Linked DNA regions of Mus musculus: all the other regions are reported to be linked to region 1. The links are microRNA targets in miRTarBase. Many come from high-throughput screens and were not tested one by one. Region 1 holds a microRNA gene; each other region holds the end of a gene's coding sequence.

Region 1 (7,122 bases):
GTGAGTGTGGGGGGATTTTCATTACATTAATTAAGGTTGAAGAGCTGCCCACCATGGTAGGCACCATTCCCTAGGCAGGAATCCATGACAGTGTAACAGGGAGGAAGCAGGCTAAACAGCAGTGTGCATAAACTCATTGCCCTCTCCTTCCTACTATGAACAGAACGTGGCCAGCTGCTTCAAGCTCCTGATGCCTTGAGAAATCCTCTCTCCCTGAATTTGCTTTTGTCAGGGCATCTTATCACTGCAACAGCAAAAGGAATAAGACAACTGCAACATGCCACGTGCATGAACGTGGCTTGTAAGGTCAAGCTTAGGCAAGTAACAAACCTGATGAATTTTTGTAAAACCAGTAGGAGGGAAAACAGGAAGGTCAGGAAGGTGGTGAAATCCACCCGAAAGCCAAGGATTACAAACTTGTTCCTTCTTCAAGCACTTTTTTTCCACCTGCTAAAACACTAAAATTTAGGAGTGTTTCCAATTACTTGAAGACTCACCAATCCCAGAACTTTCTCTTGAGTTCTTTCAGGGTTTCTGTCAAAAGTTCCTTTCCAAGGAATTTTAAGAGCGGCCCTCCCTCTCTATAACCCACCAAGGGGAGCCTGGCTCATGGTTTATGAGAAACTGTGTGAAGACACTTTAAGTACCATGCTGTAAACATGGTCAGTGTGGCCAAGCAGGTGTGGCCTACCAGCTTGGCTCCTTTTTGGGTGGATGCCACAGACTCTCTGGGTCCCTGGTCTGTGAAGAACAGGATTTCTTAGGCAGATGGGCAAAGAATATGGATGAAAATGACAGACAGATACACGAAAGATGTGTTGAATCTGAATGTATTGTTCTGGTTGAGCTTTAGACTTATATTACAACGAATTATCAGAGGATACAAATCACAAAAAGACAAGATACACTGAAATTCACCAGTTACAGCAGAAAGAAATTTACAGGGACTAATTAAATGTTTACATTAGGGATAACAAGCCCTGCCTAGGATCAGCCTAATGCCAGGCAAGAATTTCACACTTTAAGGTTAAAAGCATCAGGGGGTTGTTAACTCTTGATAGGCCTTAAGAGTAATGCATTATCACAGAGCTCTAAATTCTTAGGTCTAGTAAAACTATCTTGTCTGGAGAGTTTCCCCTTATCAGGGTAGTATATCAACTTATACTTGACATAGAATGTAGCCTGTAGTAAAAGATTTCTATCTCAGTGAGACTTTTAGTCTCTATCTACAGACAGCTGAGTAAATGACAGATGTTTATATTGTTTTATGATGGGACTAATTAGTTACTGAATAGGTTAAGCTCCTTGCTGCTATCTGAAATCTAAGAACACTGGAAAAAGGCTTTAGCTATGTTAGAATACAATCTTAAAAGGCATTTACTATAAGGTAATACTATATAGAGTGCACGTGGATCTATACACTAGACTAATGTGAGAATGGAAAAATTAATTTTATGGTTTATATAGATTAGGGAGAAAATGCCAGGCCCCTGGGAAGGGAGTTTCCTTGAAACTCTTTGCTTCATGAACTAGCTTTCCAGCTTTCGCTTTGTCAAGCTGACTCCACCAGAGTCCCTGGCAGGTGGAGAAAGGAAAGAAGTGAGAGAGAGAGAGAGAGTAACTGGTAAAGAGACGGGGTGGCTCCCGGCGCCTGGTTTTCCTCCTCTGTCCTGGTAGAGAAGTGAGTACTGAAAACTAAGACACTAAGTGGACATGTCAACATATGCTAAAAGTCATATATGGCTTTGCTCTCCTGGCCCATCTGGGTCCTTGCCATTGGTTAAGTTCAAATGGGCATGACTCTTTACATGTAAGTCATGGCTTCAGTTCCTTTACCACGTAGAAAGGATCCCAGACATACATGTTAGTCTAGGAAGAGGTGATAGGACCTTGTTTAAGTTTGGAGCCTAAAACACATATTCCATGCAATTGCCTGGGCCCCACACTAGACTGTGACCCAAAAGTGTCACCAACTGTGGTACTCACTGGCTTGTGTATTCAAAGTCCTTAGGAGGGATGAGTGACAGAGAGAAATGTGATAAATCCTGGGTTCTCTAAGAGCCTCACTCTCTACTCCAATTATATGTCATGCACATGCCGTTGTGTGCATGCATGGAGGAGCCAGAGGTTAACCTCAAGTGTTACTCCTCAGGAGCCGTCCACCTTGTTTTCTCAGTATGCTTGGAGATTCGGTGAGGCTGGCTGGCGAGGAAGCGCCGGGGATCTACCTGTCTCTGATTTTCAGCACTGAAGGATTACACTCACACATTACCATGGCCAGATTTTCACACTGAGGCTGGGCCTGAACTCAGGTCCTTGTACTTACACAAGCACACGCGTGACAGAGCTGTCTTCACAGACCCCACTCATGGTACTTTTTAAGGTGATGTGGGCTGAAGACACATCCTCTATTAAGGTTCTAGATCTTCATGCAACCATGATACTGGCTGGTATCTCTAACTTCAGATCTCTGAAGCTGATCTGTGCTGTCATGTAGAGTGGTCTTATTTACTTAATAGAATAAAATAATATTTTCATGTAGAGGTGACATTCCATAACATTTTTTTTTTGAAAAAGCCATGTCACTATCCATTCCTTAATCAGATATAATTTTATTCATATGCATTGATACTGTCTGACACATAATGCCATTCCCTGTTTAACTCTGACCACCCAACAGTGAAGGACCAAATGCAAAGCTGTCAATTAAGTTACTTTTTTTGTTTATAAAATGGATCGTTTCTCTCCGTTTGAGATATGTTGATTTGTCCTTAGGACTTTCTTAGTGTCAATCTTCCCAGACATGAAAGGTTCCACAGACCCTGTTTGTCCTCAGCATAACCGTCTTCATACCCTGTGCAAGCTGCTACATTGTTTTGCTCCTTGTTACCAAATGGAGCCTGGAAGAGTGGTGAACACAGGAGCGGTGTGAAGTGTGTCTGGTCCTGTCCCGGTGTCCTGCTTCCCATGCCTTTCGCCTGCTGTGATGAGACTTCTCGGGAGGAAGGCAAGATGGCTGCCATCCTTCAGTTATCACAGTACTGTACCTTTAGAATGGACAGCATCAGCACTGTGATAACTGAGCCAGGGCAGCCTGTCAGTCACCGTGTCCGTCAGTGACGTCACCCCCTTCGAAGGTGCCCCTCGGAGTGAAGGACTGAAAGATGCACTTCTGGATGGAGGCAAAAAGCAGAAGAAAAGAGGTCATTTGATGAGGGTGAAGCAGTAAAGACCAATTGAACTACAGTAAAGGAAAGGTGAACACATCTCTCTCTCTCTCTCTCTCTCTCTCTCTCTCTCTCACACACACACACACACACACACACACACAAATGGAGTAAGCACAAGTGAACTTTCTTTCTGGTTATATGCACATCTTACATTTCTCAGTATGTCTCTATGTTCACAGACCGCATCCCCCCAATCTCACACCTATGCACCAAGTGTTTATTCCAGGAAGGTTAAGTTTCAAGCCCTTTCTTAGAGCCAGGCTTGTTGGCGCCAGCCTTTATCCCAGCACTCAGAAGGCAAAGGCAGGCTGATCTCTGTGAGTTCTGTGAGACACGGTTCCATAACCAGACACCAGAGGGTGCTTCACAGCTGCCTGAGAGTCAATACTTTTCTGTTTGTTTCTTCATTTAATTTTTATAAAATCCTACGGAGTTAACAATGAATTGTTCTCAAACCCATCCAAAAAGGAATTATGGAACTAGGTTCAGCAACATGATAGCACTTTACAGATTGAAGAAACAAAACGAAACTCAGGGCAGGAAGTCGGAGAGGGATCCGATCAAGAACCATAAACGTGCATGAAATTGTCACAGAATAACTTCAAAAGTACATGTGCATGTGCATACACACATGTACACACAACACACAGCTGCTGAGGTCACTTAGCAGTTAAGAGTGTAGACTGCTCTTATAGAGAACCTGGGTCCCATTTCCAGAATCCAAACAGTGGCTTACAACCATCTCTAATTCTAGATCCAGAGGATCTGATGCTGTCTTTCTGCACCCTGGGGGCACTGCACACACACACACACACACACACACACACACACATGCACACACGCACAGCACACAGACATACACGCAGACAAAACACTCAAATCCATAAAATAAAAATAAAGCCAGTGAGGTGGTGCACACCTTTAATCCCAGCACTCAAGAGGCAGAGGCAGGAAGAAGTCTGTGAGCTTGGGTCCAGCCTAGTCTACATAGCAAGCTACAGGACAGCCAGGAATACATAAACATCCTGTCTCAAAAAACTAAAAAACAAAAATCTTTTTTAAAAAAGTGTAAAAAAAACCCACAGAAACCCTGGGACATTCTGTGATTTGCCCAAGATCTTATAACTAAGCAACTCAGGTCCAAATTAGTTTCTGTAGACATTGGATCTTCCTTCTCTCCCCTGCTCATCTCATCACTGTCCAGGATATTCAGTTGATAACACTCACAAACATTACTGAGTGTTTTGTACGGAGATCTGGTTTCCTAGTAACCCAGACCATGAAACAGAAACTAATGGTTTGTACTTTCAGAAGTAATTCCCCCCAAATCAGTCTTGCTGCTCTAGACTCTGAACAGTCACGTTGCTGACCCGCTGGGCGGTGCTCACCCACGCCATGCTCTCACTGTGGTTTATGCCAGTTCTACAGGTAAAATCGTGTGAGGCTAGAAATCTTTGGGATGACTTTTACATAATAATAATCAATATATTACTAACATATTTATTAATAAAATCACTAACATAGGGTGTAGTTATTAATATACAATATAACCATTACCACACATTATCTATTATAGTAGGTATAATAGATAATAAATTATTAATGCAATAATTAAAATAATAATAATAATGGATACAGGGTTTCTCTCTGTGGCCTGGCTGTCCTGGAACTTGCTATAGATCAGGCTGGCCTCAAACTCACAGATCTATCTGCCCCTGCCTTCTAAATGCTAGGACTAAAGGCATGCACCACCACTGCCATGCTGGAATGTGTCTTTTAAAAAAGGCAACACAACATCACTTTCATTATTAGTAGCTGTACCTTTGAGACATACCCTAAAGTTACTTCAGAGAGGAGTCCTGTTTTTAATAAAAGGTACAAAAAAGGGCTGGGCATGGTGGCGCATGCCTTTAGTCCCACTAGGGAAGCTGAGGCAGGTGGATCTCTGTGCCTTCTAGGCTACCCTGGGAGGTGTTTAAAAAGGTCTGTAAGATCAGAATGTCAACATAAGAATACCAACGTTTTAAAACCATGATTCATTCCATTTTCCCATGTCAGTCACATCTCAAACAATTTCAGCATGAGCAGAGCTTGACAAGTATTTGAAAAATAATGGTGTTTTCAATTAGTCATTTGCTCAATTTCAAAGACTCACTATATGCAGATCAGACATTAACTCTGCCTCAAATAAGTCAGATAGGCGAATCAATTCTTTAGATCAGGAGTCAAAAACCAGAATAGCACAATGAATGTAGCTCAGCAAGTAACTCTATGTACTACAAAACTGACCTTCATCTTTAGAAAAGTGATAACCAAATGAAATAATCTACCTCACAGAAATTAAAAACAACCTCTCCAAAGTGCAAAGATAGCTAAAAGTTAAGGCGTCATTGGCAAGTAGGGCTTAGCAAACTGATGTAATACATATTTGAGGCACAAGGTGGCAGTGAAGATTGAAAGAAAGAACGAGCTGGTGCCCACAACTCTTGATTCCTGGAAATGGTTGCACGTTTTCACCCAAATCATACGCAGGTCATGTGAACAAAGCTAGTTTGATTGTTACAAAAGAAAAAAGTTTGGAGATCTGAGTAACCAAAAAGTATAAAAATACTAATGCTTAGTTTCTCCTGACCACAGAATCTTCTCCATCTATGGAAACACACTTGAATTCCAGCGTTCCAGAGGCAGAGGCAGGCAGATTTCTGAGTTTGAGGCCAGCCTGGCCTACAGAGTGAGTTCCAGGACAGCCACGGCTACAGAGAAACCCTGTCTTGAAAAACCAAACCAAACTAACACCAACACCAACAAAAGACAAAACAGCCAGACATAGTGGGCCGTGCCTATTCAATCCCAGCACTGTGGAAGCATTATGGCTGCGTTGAGTTCCAAGTCAGCCTGAGCTAGAGGGTGAATTCTAGGCCAACCTTAAATATAGGGAGACCCTGTCTTAAAAACAAGCAAACAGACAAACAAAAAACAAGACAAGACAAAACAAAACAAAACAAAAAAACCCAAAGTTTAAAAACAAAACAACAAAAAAAGAACCAATTTCTTCGTAATTACTTCTCCGAAAAATTTCTTAAAATCCAAGTCCTTCAGGGACAGTGCTGTGCCATATACCTTGCTCCTGAGTGACACAGAATACAAATGATCTGACTGAAGGTACACTGTGCTCCTGCCAACTGCAAGCTAAAAAATTAACATATGACCTGAAGCCATTAAACTGCCTATGTGTTACATAACTGGAGGCATGGGAAGTTGCCCATAAGCCAGAACTGTTTGAAGACTGCTGCTGGCTAATTTAAATCCCCAACTCCTTTAACTTGAAAACCATAAACCAGCTGACTGACAATATTAAATAGTATGGCAGTGTCCTGGCAGCAGGGGTCTCCACATCCGCACTTGCCTGGCCAGGAGCCTCAGTGGTGCATGCAGTGTGCACCTTGCTGCAAACTCGGCTATATTACACTTTAAGAAACTAAATGTGCCAAAGACTTGTGGAAAACCCTGGAAAAGGTTGCAGATTGGTTTGTTGTTTTTTGTTTTCCCTCTTCCTTGAGGAGAAAGACCGGTTAAAAGTCAAGGCAACACGTTCTGTTCAAAGCCAGCCCTGACATTCAAACACAGCCAGCACCAAGACGCGCACATCACTGTCCCATCCACTTCGGGCACTGGCCTCGAAAATGTTCAGGCTGCACAGCAGCAGGCCCATGTAGATGAGATCAAACCAGCATCCTTCCAGAGAAGACATGTACAAAGTCCCACAGGCAGGGGGCTGGAGAGATGGCTCCGTGAGTAAAACTGCTTCTTTCAAAGGCTGATGCCTGGAGTTCCATCCCCGGAGACCTACATGATGCAAGAGAGGACAGACTTCCACAACTTCCACACAAGT
Region 2 (7,122 bases), not on the chromosome of region 1:
AGGAGCCGCCCCGCCCTTCTGGTGGTGTGCTGTGAGGGTGTGTGAGGACTAGCTAAATGAGCATAAGGCTGACAATACACTTCCTCGTGAGGCGTCTCTGACTGCTTAGTCATAAGGACATGCCAGCTTCTGGTCCTAGCAGAGCGAAAGTGTATTATTTCTACTGTTAAGCTGTTTACTAATAAAGATGTCTGTTTGGTAGCCTTGTTGGGTTTTTTGTTTCTTGTTTTTGGGTGGGGAGGAGGGTTGTTTATTTTTATTTTGTTAAAAATAAAAGAAGCCTGTGCTTCCAATAAACACTGGTGTTATATTTTGGTTTTGGTTTTATTTGTTTTGTTTTGTTTTTCCTGTGACAGCCCAAACTATATTGTACCAAGTTTGTTAGGACTTAAATCTCACACAGGTATTTTTATTTTTGTTTCCTCACCTCTAGGCACAGACCCCACAGGCTCCTCGGACTCTGGGTCCATCACCTCCTGCCCCATCATCCACTCCAACACCAACAGTCCCCATTGCCACTCTGAACCAGCCTCCACCACTTCTTCGTCCAACACTGCCTGCCGCCCCTGCTCTTCACCGACAACCTCCTCCACTCCAGCAGCAGGCTCGGTTCATCCAGCCCCGGCCAACTCTCAATCAGCCTCCTCCACCTCTCATTCGCCCTGCTAACTCCATGCCACCCCGCCTAAACCCAAGACCAGTGTTGACCACGGTTGGCGGTCAGCAGCCACCTTCACTCATTGGGATTCAGACAGATTCACAGCCTTCACTGCACTAATTACGCTGGACAAAGGCTCACCTATCATTGTACCAGTGCTCATCTGACTGATCCAAACAAGGCAAACTAGTCCTTCCTGTGGCGGGGGTCTAGCCTAAGAGGGTGCGCACACACGGGAAGTGTGGCGGTGGACTAGTGTAAGTGGTGTGACACAGCAGGAGGCCTCTGTTTGGCCTCCTTTCTAGTGCCCACTGTGATCTCATGGGAAGAAAAGTATTCTGTCTACCAAGGGGTTTTCGTTCATTTTTACTGTATTTATTTTGTTGAGGTTTCTTTTTTCCTGCCTCTTCATACTCAAAACTGTTAGTACAAAAATATTGACTTAGGAATTGTAAAAAAAACAAAACAAAAACAAAACAAAAACAAAACAAAAAAAAAACTCCTTAAGTTCCTTAAGGATGTTTATCTTTCTGCTTTTTTCTTTAATTTAAATTTTTTAAAAGACACTTTCCTATGTTAGGAGTGCAAGATAAATAGCCTGCATTTCAGATTTTGATATGTTCATATTTAAGAAATTATAGCTTCATATCCCTTTTTTCAAAATATGTTGCTTTTTTTCTAAAGGAATTTTAGTATATTCCTTTAAAAGAAAGCAATTAAATCAATTGCAAAGCAATTATATGAAACCACAAAGAATGTATTGAACCTGCTAATCCTTTAACATAGTTTGGGGTCCTAGTGCAAAGTCCTTGTTTAAAGGTCATTGACCCTGTTATCTATCAGTAATAGAGGTTTGGAATCACTCACATGCAGAAAAAGGACTTAAAATTTGGTGAGATATAATGTTTTTTAAGTTCTTTGAAAATATTAATTTTGAAAAAAGAAGTTTCTAAATGCTATTTGCTTTTAGCTAGTATCTGCCTATGTTGGGAATTTAGAACAATTTTCAGTTATGTAGAGATGGTGGTTATGGAAACATTTATTTACAGTTTATCTTCTGAACTTAAAGTTCATACTCACTAAGAGGATCTGTGTTTGATACAAAGAGTGTTTGGTTTGGTTTGGTTTTTTTTTTTTTTCCTTGCTAAATCTCTGTTGAACATCTGAATACATTTGTATGATCCTTTCAACCAACCTGAGCTTGTGGTTTGATTTAGGGCTAAGTCATCGGCATCACAAGATGAGCTCATTGTGTTGTTGCAATAATTGTGCCGTTAGCTAACGTACTGAGATCGTTTTTATGAAGAAACAGAGGCTTAAGGCCTTTTTATTCCAATGCAAAGTCATTAGCACCCACAAAGAATATTTTACTATGGCGGAGTTTCAACAGCGTGTTACTGACAGCTTTGATAGAATGACTTCATATGGGAAGCATGGCTTGCTGTAGAGGGACACTTGCTAGGGCCGCAGGCTGCCCACATCAGAGGGGTCATGTTTCCTTAAGTACTGGAAAAAAATAATCCCTTTATGGGCTCTCCAGCCCATTGGTCAATTTTAATTTTCAGCTTTCCCTTCAAAAGGACCCTCTATTCTGATGTGATTGAAAGTGGCTTGCAGAAAAGGCCCTTTTTTTTTTTCTCATCAGATCACCTTAATAGTTTATGCCCCGTATAAAATGTAACTGATCTAAAAATAATAATAGAGAATTTATACTTATTTTTACTTTAAAAGCCATGGAAGACGGTTATGTATCTTAAACTGTCTAGAGCATTTTTGAAAGCACTTGTCTTGTGTACGTGCATATTATACCGTGACAGCTTTCATCGTCTTGTCTCTCGTCAGTAGACCTGCAGTACAGTCTGTGGGAGATGTCAGTCAAGTTGTTCAGCACCAGCATCTGTCCAGATGTTCAGTATCTGTGGCTTAGGTGCTGTATCTGAGGGATGTGTTGCAATTTTCTTTACAAACACTAGAGCACACAGTAGAAGAATAGTAGTTTCATTAGTAATATGACACATGTATATAGTGAGATGTCTTCATTGTGTGCTTTGCATATTTTGTAAATATTTTGCACGTCATTATTTTCCTTTTTTGTTTGAGCAGTGTTTGGCCTGGAAGAGTAATATGCTTGCTGCTTAAAGGATTAAAGATTTAAAGGTGTCCATGTCTTCTATTTTTATATAACCTCATATTGTATGAGAATTTAGGACCTCTCACTGTGAAATTCTAAGTACTGGTTTATATATATATATATAAAGCAAAGCCTAGAAATTTCTTAATGACCATTTTTGTTAATTCTGAAGTTATCTTTTTTGAGAGATCTACACCAAAGTGTTTTTATAACATAACTAAAAATAAATCACATTGTTGCTACTACTGTTAAAATTAACGAAAAAGTATTTAATTCCAGTGTAATATGGATGGAATCAAAGGTAAGTTACGATCAAGAGTGAGCTTACGATTGAGTAGAATTGAGTAGAACACACAAAGTGAAAGAATGTAAAATTCTGTTTTATGTGGAGTGCCATCAGAAGGTGTGGCCCATGTTAAAATGCCTCTTCCCAATCAAGAAGGCTTCATGGGTATGCCCAACTGCTTGGGTTTTAGCTGACTCCAGATGCGGTCAAGTTGACACCTAAAATGAGCCACCACACATACAGTCCACCAAGACTTTCATCCTTGTCTGTCTGTTACTGAAGGACCACAATGGTACCTGGAGTCTTTCCTTTGTGTTTTTAATATCAGGTGTTGGCATTTTCAAGCAACCTCTACCCCGTACTGCCCCAACCTTTCCTTGGATCTGTGCTCCCCTCTTCTGTGACTGTCCCCATGTCACATCCTTTGTCCCTCCCCCTTTCCTCAACATGTCTTCTGTCCCTGAACACTTAATGAGGAAGCAGTGAAGGGAGATAGTAGTTGCATTGGGGTATTTGCAAGCTGTCATTAACAAACTGGAGACTACAATGAGGGTGGGTTTTCCAGGTGTGACATCTTAGAACTCTGGCAGGAATTTGGGTGAGCAAGGTTTTTAAGGACAATGGTGGGGTGCTGTTAGAAATGGGCCCAAGACCCCAGGAAAACGACTACACAATCCAAAGTATGTCATGACAGCAAGGCATATATATATATATATATATATGTGTGTGTGTGTGTGTGTGTGTGTATTATTTCAAACTAAGCAGGCAAGTGCAGCTAGCAGGGTCCCTGTTCAGTCCTTCAAATTCAGCAACCTTGTGCCTGACTCCATGGTCAGTTGGCCCCCAAGTGTGGGGCTGACTCACTGTTGAGAAGAGGGGGCAACCCTGAAAACGTATTGTGATTTCATGAGGTCCTGACCCTGAGGGGACTTGAATTTCTGCCAAGAGGCTTCCTTACAATTCTTTAATAGAATTTTATCGAATTTAACCCTCTGATGGAAAAGACAGTCCATTTTGCTTACATTTCCCACCATAGGAGATATGAGACTGAAGAGCTGTCTTCAGGGGTATCCACATTTCCCCAGGTGTAAAATAACAGCAGGTCTAGATTCAGAACAATAAGACCCCTAACTAAAGTGCTTCCTCACACAGACACCAGACACAAGAAGTGTGAAAAGAACAGGCATGCGGAGTCAAACGTGCTCTGCAACAAACTCAAGAGGACGGGACCACTTCCCGTATCAGCTCGTAGCAAGGCAGAACAAGAGACATGTGCATGTCTTAGGTTTCTAAGCTAGAATTGCAGCTACTGTGCACATAGGCTTAGAGAATGCAGTCTATGTATATGGATATTGCCTGCTGCTAGGAACTGCTTCACTAGTGAATGCAGTGCTGGCAGCCCCCAAAAGAGCATCAGTTCCCCTGCAATTGGAGCTATACACAGTGGAAAGCTGCCTTGTGGGTGCTGGGAATTGAACCTGAGTCCTTTTTAAAAAAAGCAACCAAGCCAGGCGTGGTGGCACACGCCTTTAATCCCAGCACTCGGGAGGCAGAGGCAGGCGGATTTCTGAGTTCGAGGCCAGCCTGGTCTACAAAGTGAGTTCCAGGACAGCCAGAGCTACACAGAGAAACCCTGTCTCGAGAAAAAAAAAAAAAAAAAAAAGCAACCAGTAGGGTTGGAGAGATGGCACAGTGGTTAAGAGGACTGACTGCTCTTCCAAAGGTCCTGAGTTCAATCCCCAGCAACCACATGGTGGCTCACAACCATCTGTGATGGGATCCAATGCCCTCTTCTGTTGTGTCTGAAGACAGCTATAGTGAACCTTTGTAAATTAAATTTTAAAAATCTTAAAAATAAATCTTTAAAAACAAAAAGAATAGAAAAAGCAATCAGTGCACTTAACCATCTCTCCAGAGTGTTTGTTTGTTCACTTGGTTTTTTTTCGAGACAGGGTTTCTCTGTGTAGCCCTGGAACTCACTCTGTAGACCAGGCTAGCCTCGAACTCAGAAATCCGCCTACCTCTGCCTCCCGAGTGCTGGGATTAAAGGCATGTAACACTGCCGGGTTTAAGAGTATCTTTAAAAACAAATTTTATCAGTTTGGGGAGATCTGTCCTCTGCCTGTCTTTTTGTTGTAATCAGCCCACCAAAAGGCAGAGCTGAGGGCAGGGTTCTTTGATGGAATGGGAATGATCATCTCTTGCTAGTCAGGAAGATAACTCACAGGTGTTGGTGCAACACACTTGGTAAGCCAGCAAGTCTTCTATGCACACCACAATCAGAGGCTTGCTTTCTGCTGGGGATTGCTGCTTGCCATCCTTTACACGAGCCACCTGATGAGCAGGCTTTCCACTGTAGCCTACAATGGAAGTTAATCATGCAGCTTCAAGCCCAAGGAGGTTAAATGTGCAATTTGAAGCCCAAAGAGATGTTTTCTCCTTGTCTGACTACATCTACCATTAGGTGATAGTATGTATTTTTTTTCACAAAAATGTTTATATTGATTCTTTGGGATATTTATATCATCCATCCAGATCATACTCACTTCCCCGTTCTTCCATGTCTTCCCCACAGCCCTTGTGATTACACCCCAATTTAAAAAAAAATGCATTTGTGTTGTCTACATACTCACTAGAGCATGATCAGACATCCAGTGGGCAGACCCCTAAGGAAAGCTGGGTTCTTCTCCACTGTACACTCACCAAGGCATCAAAGGTAGAGAGCTGCACCTCAGTTTATCACAGGTTTTAAGAGTTCTCTTCGGCTGGAGAAATGCCTCGGTGGTTAGGAGTACGGACTGCTCTTCCAGAGGTCCTGAGTTCAATTCCCAGCAACCGCATGGTGGCCCACAACCATCTGTAATGGAATCTAATTCCCTCTTCTGGTGTGTCTGAAGGCAGCTACAGTGTACTCATAAAAAAAAAATAAATCAATCTTTTTTCAAAAAGAAGAGTTCTCTTTGGTGGCTTCCTTTTTAGGCTGTTACATGGGGGGTTGGGGTGGTGGTATCATCTACCATTAGGTGATAGTATGGGCTTCCATGCCCCTCTTTCTCAACTGCATCTGCAGTCATCATCACTGCCAAAGTAGCTTCCTTGATCTTTACAGTCAGCTGGAGCTCAGATCATGGCCTTCCTCGTGGTTTCTGGAAACAGCCAAGACCATGAACATGGCCACCTGCTGCACCAAGATCATGGACCCAGACAAAGCCCTTGAAGGCAGCATGGGTTCAGATATCACTGTGGCCTCTGGTGGCAGCAAAGGCCACTCAGATCAGTATGGCCTCTGTTGGCAGCACAGCCCACCAACATGGCTTCAGACCAGAGCATAGACTGCAGATATATGCATGGTATTTGGTGGTAATATGGGCCACGGACATCGACTCGACCCCACCGCATCAGGACCACACATAGCCTTCATGGGACCATGAGCCATGGTGGTGCCTCCATAGAGGTCCAATCCAGAGAGTGAACCGTTCCCCATCTTGGGCCTCTGCCATTTCCCAGAGCTAGGACAATCCCGTGGCCTGATAGTGTGTTTGGAGCTGGGGGATCAGCATCTGTCTACGCTGTGAGGTGCTGCACATCATCCCACCGACCCCACTATCCACCTCAGCCCTCTCTCTCAGCCTCTCCCTCTTCTCGGCTCTAGCTCTGCCTCTCCTCATAGCGCACAGTGCTCTGCTCTTCCGTCTTTCCCCATCACCACAGCACATTTGTTCATCTTAATGGCGTCTGCAGGCCCTGGGACAGCCTTTGCCCTGTCCAGCTTCTGCCTACCTGCCCTGGAATTATGCTTTTTGTCCTCAACTAACACATGACTTCATCAGTCTTGTTGTATAAACTGAGGGAAATAATGCATTCGACCAACAGGTGGCAGCCTTCCCTCTTCATCAGACTGCCCAGTCACACCAACCAGTTAAACCACTGGTGGTAGGTAGAGTGTCCTGAAGAATCATATATTTGCCCTTTCCTTCTGAAGAAAGAGTTTGTGTATCATGCCATCCTTCTCTTTATAAGTGACTCTAGTTTAAGGACTAGTAAATC
Region 3 (7,122 bases), not on the chromosome of region 1:
ATAGAGCACCTGCCTAGTATGCACAAAGCCCTGGGCTAATCTCCAGAGAGAGAAACAGCAAGACTCAGAGAGTATTTGGTCACCCAGTAAAATAAAAAATGATGTTAGCATCTAAAGAATATTAAAAAAAAATAACAAGAATTTCCCAGAGTATTAAACAGCATTAAGTTACAGATCTCAGAGCACAACACATAAGTGATATGCATAGAAAGAAACCTGCAGAGACACATTCTATCAAAATTTCTTACAAAGATAAAATCTTAAATCAAAGAGTAAAAAGTAAGAAGCGTACTTCCCAACTGTGACAAAGAAAGCCTGAAGACAGTGGGCTATATCTTCAATGTAATTAAAGAAAGGAAGGAAGGAAGGAAAGAGAGAAAGGGAGAAAGGGAGAAAGGGAGAAAGAAAAGAAAAGAAAGAGGGAGAAAGAAAGAAAGAAAGAAAGAAAGAAAGAAAGAAAGAAAGAAAGAAAGAAAGAAAGAAAGAGAGAGAGAAAGAAAGAGAAAAAAGAAAGAAAGAGGAAGGGAGAAAGAAAGAAAGAAAGAAAGAAAGAAAGAAAGAAAGAAAGAAAGAGAGAGAGAGAGGGAGGGAGGGAGGGAGGGAGGGAGGGAGGAAGGAAGGAAGAAAGAAAGGAAGGAAGGAAGAAAGCAAGCAAGCAAAAATTATAATTCTTTGTTCAATGAAACATCCTTGTGTAGTGGGCTGGTGCTGCTATGTATTCCAATGCTAAATACTGTATCCCAAGACCTGGTTGTTCCAAGACAAGAAGGTCCTCATATCTACCAGCTTTTGTTGTGTAAACCTTGCTCTCCAAGTTATCCATGATTGGCTAATAAAGATGGCTATAGCCTAGAGCTGGGCAGAAGAGAGGTAGTCAGAGCTTTGGTTTGAGGCAGGGACCACGAGGAAGCAGAGAAGAGAGGAGGAAGAAGGAAGAAGTCACCATGGGGTAGGTGGATCATGACTGCATGGCCATGAGGGCCAGTCTGTGGGAACAGGAGCAGCCCAGGTGGAACATGGCGAGTGATACCCTGCAGTGACTGACAGGGAAGTAGACAAAATATCATAGAGGTTCACGTCTGCCCAGATCTAGTGCTTTAGGCTTATTATAATTACAGAGGTTTTGTGTCCTTTACTTGAGAACTAAATGATCCAAATAATATTTATCACAACATTTTGGTGCCCAACATGGGGCAAAAGTAACCAAAGGTTAAAAAAAAAAAGTAACAAAGGTAAAGAAAAACATTTGCAGGCACAGTAACTGGGAGATCCTCAGATCAGCACTAAAAGCAGAGACCAGCTTCCAGCTGAGTGTTCACAATCTGGCTGAAGAGCCCAGGAGACACCTGGGGTTACTTCAGCAACACAGGCAAGGTACGAGGGTGGCCGTACTACACAGGCTGTTTTAAAAATGATAGGACTGGTTTATTTGGAAAATTTATATGTTTTGAAGATAGCCCTGTCTCAATTTGCTGTTGACTTAAATATATTGTGAGCCGCTATTGTCACAGGCGGAATGTCCCACAGACAGAGCCTGGCTTAGGGGCAAATCCCAGGCACGCATTTGGAAGTGCTGGGTTTGGGTGCCCATAAGACCCATGACTATTTCTAGGGTGCTATTGGGTACTTTCATTTCCATCTAGACAAACACCTAGAGTGGAGAATAAAGTTGGAGACTGTCGGTGTATGTTCCTGTACTCTTTTCTACCCTTTTCTTATATTTTTGGTTGTGAACCTAGCCTTTAATGGCTGAGCCATCTCTCCAGCCCTCTATCTTTTCCTTATGAGCCGTTAAAAACAGGAATGGCCAAAGGAGCTAATGGGTAACACTCGGAGTGTCAGTGTCTGTCTGCTTCTCTTGATTTTAGCACCTGCCTGAAGCAAACCCTTGATGACTCTCTTACAGAAATGTCGGGACTGAGATCTTGAGGTGAGACACGTTCCATGGACAATCAGATACCAGCTGGTAGATGAAGCCCAGAATTCCTTCTCGTTTTTTAATTCTATGAAAGCTTAACAAACCATCAGTACTTATAGTACATACTTACTGAAGGGATGGATGAGTGACTGATGCCAGTTGTGGTGGTGATTCATAATTCCATCTTTATGGTGTGGTCCAGGGCAAGGCAAAGACAGGCCTGGGACTTGGGAGTAGGTGGTACCTTCCTTCCATAGACGCTTTGGGGAAGCCCATTCTTGGGAGGGTCAAGTCCATTACACTAGCACTTTTCTAAGGTTCCCCCCCCCCATGTGCCATCTTAAGAAACATCTGACTTCTAGCCTGTGGCTTCTGCAGCCAACCTGAACGAAGCCTAGGACTGCAGGCTCCCTGGCCTTGAGGATGGAGGGGCCTTAGGCCCAGGAGAGGAAGCTGGATGACACTTCAGGTGCCTCTTACAGATGAGGAAACTGTCTCTCAGAGGGCCCAGGCCAGTGGGGCAGGGCGGAGTGATCTCAGAGCAAGGCCACTTCTTCTGGCGAGGCTTAGTGACAGGCATTATGTGAATGCAGGCTGGCGTCATGACATAGGCAGGACAGCTTACCCGTTTCCCTCTGCCAGGGCACTCTGCTCAGGGAGGGGCATCCATGCTGTGACAGAATGGGGACCAGCTGACTCACAAGTCTCAATAATGTGCTTTTCATTAAGTTAAATCATGAATCAAAATCGCCTTTAGAGCAAGGGGTGATTGTCCCACATTAAAGATGGGGAAACTGAGGCTTCAAGAGTACTATCAAAATCCGGGACTCACAGGTTCGACCCACTCAAATGTTCTATTCCCTGTCCACAAATGGTCCATTCAAGGCTCCGGTTTTGCTGTCCTTTGGGCTAAGCTTCTTTCCCAGTGCGCCATTCGGGCCTCAATGTGGCTGGTGACCCCTGAGCAACCTGTGTCTGACCAGCCACACTGGAATGTCCTTTTTTACCAACCTGCCTTCATGGCTCCATCCATATCCCATGGTCTCCTTACACACACATCCCAGTTTGAGGTCACTTACCAGCAAGTGCTTGGTCTTTCACCAATTAGAGGGCAATGGAGTCATAGATACGCAATGGAGGTAATGGATGAGTGGGACGGCTCTTAGATTTAAAAGCTCATTAGGAGATGGGTTTTTTGTTTGTTTGTTTGTTTTTTGTTTTGTTTTGTTTTTAGGTACTTTCCTCAACAGAAGTTCTCTGTAAGACAACACTTCAAGGCCAATACTGTGAGGACCCTTTGTTCTTCGGAGAACAAAACCCAGAGCTAATCAGACACTAGAGCAGAACGAGGCTGGATTCAACTGGGTTGTTCTTGAACAAACTTGCCCAGCACAGCATCAGAAAAAAAAGTCCCCAGAGGTGGGCAGCCCTCCTACCTGCTACCCAGAATGCAACCTTTGGAGACAAACAGCCCCAGGTGACCGGGATACACCCCACTAGGGGGTGTGGGAAAGCCCGCTCCAGCAAGGCAGGGTCAGCAGGCTGGCATTGTTTGCCTCTGTATACAGCAACAGAAACCAAGCAGCCAGCACTTCTCAGAGGCACCCCGCCCCCCTTCATTTTAATCTCCCAAACTGACTTGTCAGCAGCAGGAAGTGACATGACAGCTTTCCTCACAAAAGGGAAACTCCTCAGTGTTACCATGGGAACGGAGGCCAAGGCGGGATCACAGATTTATATAATCTTAAAGGTGTAGGCACCATGATGTCATTCTGGTTAAGTTGAGACCACGGACGGGGTGGGGGTGGGGTGGACGGGAGGGAGGGTGGGGTGGGGGACGCATGCCAGAGGATGTAAGTACAAAGCAGGAGAGCTTCAAGTTGCAGAGTTCGCCGGAAAGGAAGGAGAGGATGCTGAGGAGGTGGTGGGGGCTGAAGCCTCATCGGATGGATGCCGGGGGAAACCACAGGAAAGCACAGGACGGGCATCTATGCCTTTCCGCAGCCTGAAATTAAAGAGCCAGGATGAAACCGACCCTTCAGATCAGGGCAAACCGGTCATTTCACTGGGTGGGAAAACTAGATGTCACTGTTGACAAGGGGATCCATTTGTTGCTCCATCGTCCTCAGTGAGCACAGGAAGCAGCTTTTGTTGTCTTTGTTACACAGAGCAGAAAACTGAGGCCAAATTCTGGACTAGTGGGGAACACAGCTAGTTAGAAAACTTTACATTTAGCAACCCCGCTCGAGCTCTTTTGGCTGGTCTTCACTGAGACTCCAGTCTCTGTGAGACCACCTAATAATTAGGACACTGACTCAGCGGCCTTGTCTCTTTCTCTGGGAAAGATTGTGAACACAGGCAAAACACTTAGGGGACCCCAGAACTCAGTGGCAGCTCTTAAACTGACAGCTGTCACTGTCACATGAGCCTTAAACATTACGTTGTGTCTGCATCAGTTCTCTCTGGGAAACAAACATTCAAATGGAATCTTTTCATCCTGATTTTCATACTGATTTTGCCTCAAGCATTGCCATTTTCTGCAGCATCTCAGCAAAGGTGACCCGTGAGAGGGATCGCTCCCGGTCTGGGCTGTGAGGAGACATGAGTGAACTGTTTTCCCTGGCAGCTCCCTGAGGCAGCCTCTGTATTTTTCCATTGACTGGCTCACACACTGGAGATTAATTTGGGTTCAGCCAGTGGCTGCCAAGTTGAAAGCAGAGGCCCAGGCCCACGGGAAAGGCAGTCCCTGCATCTGCCACGGGATTGCCATTGCTGGTACATTTCCACGAAGGGATCAACTCACAACAGCAAATATCTAGAGCTTGAAGAGCTTGATAAAAAAAAAAAAAAAAACAGTTTGTTTTAAAAAGCATGCAGCCACTCACCCCAAACCCTGCCAAGGATTTGAGCTTGCCAGCACAGGACAAGTTCTTCTGTCTTAGAACACAAGGCTCTTCAGACCCGGATGTCACGTGGCAGGGGGGAGATGTCAAGGACAGATTCTGGGTCAAGACTTGAACAATGGGGCTGGGTGAGGACCATGGCACCAGTCAAGATGAATGGGATGTTTCCTCTTCCACTTCACACAGCACTTAGTCCACAAATGAGCTGCAGAAGAGCAGGCACCCAGGGGCCCGAACCCGAGGGCTTTGCTGTTACTTCATTCGACATTACAGATCAGATTATCGCTCGGTAGTCAATTATACCTTCTCAGCCTTGGTCTGCTTGGCAAGAGGGAAAATTCGGAGTCCTGCCCTGCAGCAAGTGTGACTTAATTGCCTATGTCTAAAACACAGTTATGAAGAACAGCAAGTGACCTGAAGGAGACAGCTGCCAAAAATGATATTTCTATGTAGAGGTCGTTGTACAAACCCTCCAAAAAGTAAGAGGGAGTGCAAGTTATTTCTTCCCTGTACATGCATATAGAGCTTGGGTTCTTTTATTATTATTATTTGATGCATTATTTTTAAAGATGTAAAAGCCTTGTTCAAGGATACACACACACACACATATGATATAGACAAGCGACAAAGTTTAAAGGCCATAGGATTAGAAAGCAAAGCACAGTTCCCAATTCCCTGCTCAGTTGCTCAGCTCTCAGAGCCTCCCATCTTCCTCTGCTTAACACCTGAGCCTCTCTGAGGGTCGGCTCCTCCCAAGCTTTGTATATCCTGAGAACGCATTAATCCAGGGATTCTGCACATAGTTCAGGAAGGGGAGATCTTGCCCATGACTCCTAAGGAAGAGATTAATAAAAGAAGGTAATTCAGGTAAATGCTTCTGCAGACACTCAGGTTCCCTGGGTGGCATGGCATTGCCTGTGCATGTTAAAGGACCCTCTGCTAAGATCTAGTGCTTCACATAGCTCCTAGTGCTTCACACAGTTCTCCTAGTGCTTCACACAGTTCTCCTAGTGCTTCACACAGTTCTCCTAGTGCTTCACACAGTTCTTCTGCATTCCTCCCTCGGAACCCATGGGTCAACCAAAAGGAGCAGACTCCAGCCCCACCCACGTTGGCAACAGTGGTCCACTGCTTCCCTGTGCCACTTGCTCAAGAGTGGGGTCACCAAAGAAAGCACGGAGAGCTCAATAGAAACGTCATAATTTATTCTGTTGTATAAAAAAAGTCATCCCAGTAACAAAATGTCTTCTCAGAAGAAGAAATATATTACTTCAGATCATAAATAAACAAACATACAACTGTCGATAACTGAAAGCTACAAACCTACACTGGCTTTGTCTGTCAGTGCCGAAAGCAAACCTGCTCTGGGTCTATTTACAAGATAGTACAGTACGCAAACACAAAATTGAGGTATTTGGTTCTTCTATGAGTAGACAATGACATTTGTGAAGGCAGACCACCGACCTACACAAAAATAAATAAAGGTAAAAACTCTCATACGCGCATGTCATCGGGAATGGTTAATACTGGTGGGTGTGTCAAGCATGAAGTTTCTAGAAAAAAAAAAACAGGCAAGCGAAGAAACTGCCTCAAACAGAGTCCTTTCTCTTCTGCCCTGTTTTGTCAGAGGGACTTGATGTACCCACAATATATTGGTCCCGAATGTGCCGAGTTCAGCAAATGTCTTGCGGTCAAGTCATTGTTGTGACTGCTTAGGAACTCAGTGGAACTCAGGAGGAGTTGGGGGGTGAGGGGGGTGTTAAATAAATAAGGACCAGCTCCCATGAGCCTCTCCCAGAGTTATTGCATTGCTCCTCCCACAGGAGGAGTGGCGACCCGGTGGCAAGTGAAACTCCACACCTCCCCTTGCCCTTCAGCAGCTTGGAGAGGTGGTGATGGGGCTTTTAAGGTAGTTCAGGGCACTGTTCGTGGGGTGGACGGGGATGGAAACAGGGAAGTTGAAGACTGTGGTAGTAGAGGTGCCCCGGTCAAGGACAGCCATGGCAGGGCTCCCAGCTTCAGCAGAGCAGTGAGGGGCTAGCACTTGGGACTCAAACTGCAGCAGCTGGCCCATGAAGCTGAAGTTCGGGGAGATGATACTCCGCCTCTGCTTCACAAACTCAAAGGCCTCGTCCAGCTTTACCCGGTTAGTCCTCATGAGGTAAGCAAGGCAGATGGTGGCTGACCGGGAGATGCCGGCCTGGCAATGAACAAACACTCTCCCTCCAGCATCCTTGATGGAGTCTGGAAAATAAAGTTATGGGTTACTCAAAAACTCAGAACAGCTGAGCCCAGATCAAG
Region 4 (7,122 bases), not on the chromosome of region 1:
GCAGAAGAGTCAAAAGATGGAAAATTTTTCACTTTTTTGTCACTTGTTTTATATTAAGCTTCATGGTTTTTTGGAGCCCAATCAATAATTACATCATGAGCCATATGAAGTCCTACTCCTACAGATACCTCGTAAATAGCTATGGCTTTGTAAACAATTCCCTGTCTCTCAAGCACAGCTCTGTGCAGCCTCACTACCCATACTTGATCAACCACAGAGAGAAGTGTCAGGCTCAAGATGTCCTCCTCTTACTGTTTATAAAGACTGCCCCTGAAAACTATGGCCGACGTTCTGCAATCAGAAAAACGTGGGGCAATGAGAACTATGTTCAGTCTCAACTCAATGCCAACATCAAAATTCTGTTTGCATTAGGAACTCCTGGTCCACTGAAGGGAAAAGAACTGCAAAAAAGACTAATCGGGGAAGATCAAGTGTACAAGGATATAATTCAGCAAGATTTCATTGATTCTTTCCACAATCTTACTTCTAAATTCCTTCTTCAGTTCAGCTGGGCAAATACCTTTTGTCCACATGCCAAATTCCTGATGACTGCTGATGATGATATATTTATCCACATGCCAAATCTCATTGAATATCTTCAAGGGCTAGAGCAGATTGGAGTTCGAGACTTTTGGATTGGTCACGTTCATCGAGGTGGCCCTCCTGTTAGGGATAAAAGCAGCAAATACTATGTTCCCTATGAAATGTACAAGTGGCCAGCCTACCCTGACTATACAGCTGGTGCTGCCTATGTTGTCTCCAGAGATGTAGCTGCCAAAATCTATGAGGCATCGCAGACACTGAATTCCAGTATGTACATAGATGATGTATTCATGGGCCTCTGTGCCAATAAAGTGGGAATCTTGCCACAGGACCATGTATTTTTCTCTGGGGAAGGGAAAATTCCTTATCACCCCTGCATCTATGAAAAGATGATGACATCTCACGGACACTTACAAGATCTGCAGGACCTCTGGATAGAGGCTACACATCCTAAAGTAAAGAACATTTCAAAAGGGTTTTTTGGTCAAATATACTGCAGGTTAATTAAGATAGTTCTTCTCTGCAGACTGACTTACAGGAATTCATACCCTTGTTGGGCTGCATTTGCTTAGTAGTACATGAATGCTGTACTGTGTTAAGTGTCACTGAGCCAAACTTGAATGGAAAATAATAATCTGTAAATGTTTCTCTCTACCCTAAGTCAAATGAATTGAAAGCAAAGAGATTCATTTCAAAACCCAGTCAAACTGGTCAGTGTAACTCCAAATTAAACTGCAGCTTAATTTCATTTCAAGGAATTCATATTCTAAACGACTTAGATCATGAGCAAGGGTAAAGTAAGAATTTCAAGTTCTCATTTGGTTCTACACATGTATTTAAGGTATGGAGAACACCTGAGAAGCCTTGATATCAAAATAATAGTTTGGGGAAGATACCTGAGAAATATATAATATAGCATTTCTAAAAAATTAATACCTCTTAGAACAAGCAATCCCAATTATCTTATTAAAGAGTTCTAGGTAGAGGTGGAGGGAGGCAGGTGATGCAGAAGGAACGTGATGAAAGGTTCATCCGAATGAGGACATATGTGGAAAATGTATATAATTTCTTATAGTTAAGTCGTTTAACATTGGCATTCCTACAGCCAGTTACCTAGGCAGTTCTGGAATCATTTAAGATATATTTGTTTCATTTTCTCAAATTTAATTTTTAGTGTAAAAACTTTAGAAAGTGGTCAGCTCTACCCTAATAAAAACTATATGTACGCTTTCTCTAAAGTTATAAAACAAGAATAGTTCCTGGCCCCTGGAGGACCTTCTTTAAAGATAAATCACTATCAACTCCAATAAGCTTGTTTTAATTTAATGAATTATTCAATGGCTTTTAAAACACTAGATATTGGCCTCTGTTTAAGGTAGTTGTTTGGATGCAGCTTACAATGAGGAGTATAATAACAGAAGAGACTTAAAGGAAAGATAGAACTAGGGGTATAGCTCAGCATCCAAAAGGGAAGACAAAGAAGCAATAAAAGTCTCTTTTCCTTGTAATTGTAACATCAGCTTGGAGTCCAGACCATGGCACTCAATACTCAAATGCCGCTTCCAATAAGGTCTTGTAGGACACAGATTTTGTTCCAAGTGAAGACTTTTAGCTTGAAAGTTTTTAATATAGTACCACGTCTAAAATAATCCATTATTTGACTCAATAGCTATCAGAGGTTATCTTTTAAATATTTCAAACATGGGAGCAAAATAAGAGTGCTAGAGAAACTGACCAAATGAGATTAGAAATGTTGGTAAATCTGCATGTTCTTTGTAATCAGAGGCTTGGCAGATCTAATAAATTAAATTACATTTATTTTACAAAATAGGATTAAAACATGTGGCTGGTATGCAAACAGTGCACCAGCACAGAAAGGACTAAGGGGTATTCATCGATTAAGGACCTGTAATGCAGGTCAAAACACGATTTCAGCAAATGAAGATGGATGCTTAACAACCCTCAGACAGATGCATATAATAGGGAAAGTTTAGCTACTATTATTAGGGTGGTTTTGGAAACAATGCAAAAAAATCTAAAAATACACAACTAAATGATATCTGTGTTTTCACAGGTAGATTTTTTTTAAAAAAATGTTTACAGAAATCTTTGTGAAGTTTTTTATTATGAGATATGAAGCTTGTTTATCCTACTCGGGTAGTTTCCTACTAATTTCAAGACTAGTGTTAAACATTCTAAGGTAGTTATCTTAGGGTAGATTCAAGGTTTTAGATGACTAACAGTTCAGATTTTCTGATCAATTTTTTAAACACTAGAGAATAAAAGTGTACTAGAGAATAAAAGCAGCTTCATAGTTAATTCTCACCAATTGGCCCTTTGCTAGCTGCTGGCTTTAGGTACACATAGGATAATATGTGTCCACGTTTCTACTTGGAACTGGTAAAAGTTGTCACTGGCTGGAAAATGGTATCTCTCTCTTGTATACAAGATGGTCCATTGACACTGGTACTTTATGAAGCAGTTCTTTGTTTGTTTGATTGAGCTCTCTTGAACCTTGTTCATCTTTTAGTTTTTGCTTAGAATAGAATGGAACTGGTTTGAAGTTAAAGGAAATATTCATTTTGAAACTTGTTCATTTTGAAAGGAAATGCAAGTTTCAAAATGAAAAATAAAATGAAAAAGGAAATAAATTATTGTCCCAGATGGTCACTTGAGTTTTAAAAAATGGCTGCACACAGTAAAACTGCTAAAAACAAAAACTTACCTCATTATTGGTTTGCATCTTTTTTCAGCTACTAATTTTATACCAAAATGTTAAATATTTATATTGTTTGAGTTTCAATCTTGTATGGAAAAAAATAATTAGTAGGTCTAAAAATGCCATGCTTTCCAATAAAGAAGTTAAAAAAATCATCAGTAATGTGAATTTAAAATCCTGTGTGGGCATCATTCTGTGTATCGTCACCTGCTGTCTTATACCAGAAGAACCTGCACTACCCATCCATTGTCCTATGTGTGCTCACCCTGCTGCTGTGCTCACTGGTGGGCTGTCATGGAGCTACTTAAGGAGCTATGCTGTGACTGTGGGAAATGCTGTTTGTCCAGAATGCCATGACAAAAAGCTCTTGCAGTTTTAGTGTATTAAGATGCCATCTAAAGAGGTTAGACTCTATTCATTAGCTGAATAAAAGAAGAACTTGGAAGCATCTGCGTTACTTGGGTGTAGCAGAACTTTGTACCTGCAAGGCATGTCAGTGATGTCTGTAGTTTGGATGAGAGATACTTACCTCAACAGTTGGAAGAAGCCATTAACTATTAAAGTCTACTTTTGTAGTTTACCTGGACATCATAGCTTCAGTGAGAATGGACCCTGAGATCTTGGGGAAGCCAGTTCTCCAATTCTGACTTTAGAAGTCCCATTTCCTTATGTCAATTCCATGATAATGAGAGGGCGTTAGATGTCTCCCTCACTGTTCTTTCTAGGCAGTTATGAATTCTGTACCAGGGCAATATTTAACTTGTTCTCCTCACACCTTTGTTATGCATCACAAATGCTGTTTCCAGTATGGACTCTACACTCTTCCACCTGCCTTTAGAAGTCCTATTTCCTTGTCCTATATGAGTTTGCTTTGCCTACTGCCAACATTATTACAAACTCCATTATTTTCTGTCTCTCCCTTGGCGATGCTGGTTTCTTTTGCCAAGAGCACTATCTGCTTTATTCAGCCAAAGAATACTCTGAGAAGCCCTAGTTGAGGAATCTGAAAGAGGCAAGTCTATGTTAATGACCCACACAAGGCCAGTGCAGTCTTCACACAGGCCCCTCTCTTCCTTCGCTACCTGAAGCAGGCCATGGGGAAGTTATGGCATAGCTCCAGTCTTGTCTGTATGACCCTCTTAACCCATCCCGAATTCCTGTAATTGTCTATGTGTTTCCGTCATGGTACAGAGGCACAAGAACTTGAAAACTTTCAGTATCTGCCTTCTAGAACCACATCCGCACCTGTGATAACTCCCTCTAAAGATTCCATGTCGAGGCTTAATCTTCTTGTCGATGGTAATGCTGAGTACAGGCCTCCAAGATCTGGAGTCTTCATGTAGACCCAAGTGACCCTATGTGACCCTGCCCACAAATCATTTCTAATTTGTAAAGATACCAACAGCCAATACCTGGACATAGGTGAGGTTTGGGATGCTTGGGCTTGAGTCAGAGGAGAAGGACAAGGGGAAAAAGAAGGTGGAGGAGAAAGGAGAAGCTGCCATGGATTAGGTGAGCCATAAAAACATAGCCTTGAGAGCTGGCCAAATGGAGTTAAGAACAGTCCAGATGAAGTGCAGTCAGCAAGTAATGATTCAGGGTTGTCAATAGGAAAGAAGATTCTAATAGCATAGAGGGTAGATATCTGCCTACCTCTAGTACTGATTAAGGTTCATTGTAAATATAAAGGTTGTATGTGTCTTTTATCTGGAAACTGAATGATCAAGTCAGGGTTGAAACACTGGGTCAGGATTAAATTTTCCTACAATAGTTCCATTTTTTATTCTTAGCTACAGTGTAAATTCTGACAGTAGAGACTCAGTATATCCAATTACATAGTAATATTATTCTGGCAAGATATTTACCTATAGAAACCAAAACCTTTCATGGATACTTTCTAGTGTCAACATTTTGCTTACAGTGCTTAAAGCTTTGTAATCTATGCAATACATTCAAAATATTTCACTATTAAACATACTGTACCTACAAGCATGAGCACCAATAACTTTTTACCAGTGATGTATCAAAATTCAAACCTATACTATTAAGAGTAAATAAGGAAATTCATATTAAATGATATAGCTAAGACTAGTGATCACAACATACATATGATGGCAAAACAGAACAGCCTTGTAGATTCTTTAATCTCATGACGAACTTGGGTAATTTAGCCTTAACAATGTTTTATAAGAACATAAGATTTTTATTAATTTCTTCACATATTACCCTTGTATTTCTTATGATAAAATGATTTAGTGGTCTACTATAAATTAATAGTACAATTCATCGGCTAAATGCAAGTGCTTTAGGACTACTATGGCTGTGATAAAAAAATAAATAAATAAATAAATAAATAAAAGAACTGGGAAAGAAAGGATTTCTTAGGCTTACACTTCCATAGCACTTTTCATCACTGAAGGAAGCCAGGACAGAAACACAAACTGGGAGGGAACCTGGAGGCAGAAGCCTGAGTGCTGCTTACTGGCTTGTTCATCCAGGCAAGCTCAGCCTCCTTCCTAATAGGACCCAGGACCACCAGCCTTGGGATGGCACATCCACAATGAGCCAAGCTTTCCCCCATCAATACCAAATTAGGAAAATTTCCCTACAGGCTTGCCTACGGTCCAAACTTATTGAGACATTTTTTGTTTTTCATTTTTTTTAGTTAGGTATTTATTTCATTTACATTTCCAATGCTATCCCAAAACTCCCCCACCCACTCCCACTTCTTGGCCCTGGCGTTCCCATGTACTGAGTCAGATAAATTTTGCACCACCAATGGGCCTCTCTTTCCAATGATGGTCGACTAGGCCATCTTCTGCTACATATGCAGCTAGAGACACGAGCTCGGGGGTACTGGTTAGTTGATATTGTTGTTCCACCTATAGGGTTGCAGATCCCTTCAGCTCCTTGGTTACTTTCTCTAGCTCCTCCATTGGGGGCCCTGTGATCCATCCAATAGCTGATTGTGAGCATACACTTCTGTGTTTGCTAGGCCCCAGCATAGTCTCACAAAAGACAGCTATATCAGGGTCCTTTCAGCAAAATCTTGCTAGTTTATGAAATGGTGTCAGCATTTAGAAGCTGATTATGGGATGGATCCCTGGATATGGCAGTCTGTAGATGGTCCATCCTTTCGTCTCAGCTCCAAACTTTGTCTCTGTAACTCCTTCCATGGGTGTTTTGTTCCCAATTCTAAGAAGGGGCAAAGTGTCCACACTTTGGTCTTCGTTCTTCTTCAGTTTCATGTGTTTAGCAAATTGTAACTTATATCTTGGGTATTCTAAGATTCTGGGCTAATATCCACTTATCAGTGAGTACATATTGTGTGAGTTCTTTTGTGATTGGGTTACCTCACTCAGGATGATGCCCTCCAGGTCCATCCATTTGGCTAGGAATTTCATAAATTCATTCTTTTTAATAGCTGAGTAGTACTCCATTGTGTAAATGTACCACATTTTCTGTATGCATTCCTCTGTTGAGGGGCATCTGGGTTCTTTCCAGCTTCTGGCTATTATAAATAAGGCTGCTATGAACATAGTGGAGCATGTGTCCTTACCGGTTGGAACATCTTCTGGATATATGCCCAGGAGAGGTATTGCTGGATCCTCTGGTAGTACCATGTCCAATTTTCTGAGGAACTGCCAGACTAATTTCCAGAGTGGTTGTACAAGCTTGCAATCCCACCAACAATGGAGGAGTGTTCCTCTTTCTCCACATCCTCGCCAGCATCTGCTGTCACCTGAATTTTTGATCTTAGCCATTCTGACTGGTGTGAGGTAGAATCTCAAGGTTGTTTTGATTTGCATTTCCATGATGATTAAGGATGCTGAACATTTTTTCAAGTGCTTCTCAGCCAT

Evidence for each region. Region 1 holds the annotated microRNA mmu-miR-101a-3p (UACAGUACUGUGAUAACUGAA, at 3,026-3,046, opposite strand). A microRNA usually pairs through its seed, bases 2 to 8, with sites in the 3' UTR of a target mRNA and lowers its output. Matches are read on the target gene's strand: a 7mer-m8 pairs with bases 2 to 8, a 7mer-A1 pairs with bases 2 to 7 and ends in A, and an 8mer does both.
Region 2: miRTarBase lists Rcor3 as a target of mmu-miR-101a-3p. Seed matches in the 3' UTR shown: 7mer-A1 at 1,026-1,032.
Region 3: miRTarBase lists Dusp1 as a target of mmu-miR-101a-3p. Seed matches in the 3' UTR shown: 8mer at 6,207-6,214.
Region 4: miRTarBase lists B3gnt5 as a target of mmu-miR-101a-3p. Seed matches in the 3' UTR shown: 7mer-m8 at 1,131-1,137.

Annotation. Positions count from the first base shown.
Region 1 is chr4:101,343,932-101,351,053 of GRCm38, forward strand. It overlaps Mir101a (microRNA 101a), which reads right to left and starts at 3,096; the gene lies at 3,014-3,096. E130102H24Rik (RIKEN cDNA E130102H24 gene) reads right to left here. Exons shown (of 2, transcript NR_040708.1): 2 at 2,593-3,172.
Region 2 is chr1:192,094,467-192,101,588 of GRCm38, reverse strand. Rcor3 (REST corepressor 3) reads left to right here. Exons shown (of 12, transcript NM_001346740.1): 12 at 434-3,043. The coding sequence ends at 778. Among named protein-coding and RNA genes, the nearest start is that of Traf5, 5.4 kb to the right of the region's middle.
Region 3 is chr17:26,499,586-26,506,707 of GRCm38, forward strand. It overlaps Dusp1 (dual specificity phosphatase 1), which reads right to left. Exons shown (of 4, transcript NM_013642.3): 4 at 6,006-7,065. The coding sequence ends at 6,695. It overlaps Gm34455 (a long non-coding RNA gene), which reads right to left and starts at 4,762. Exons shown (of 3, transcript XR_876694.2): 1 at 3,355-4,762.
Region 4 is chr16:19,769,049-19,776,170 of GRCm38, forward strand. B3gnt5 (UDP-GlcNAc:betaGal beta-1,3-N-acetylglucosaminyltransferase 5) reads left to right here. Exons shown (of 4, transcript NM_054052.3): 4 at 1-3,705. The coding sequence ends at 1,115. Among named protein-coding and RNA genes, the nearest start is that of B3gnt5, 12 kb to the left of the region's middle.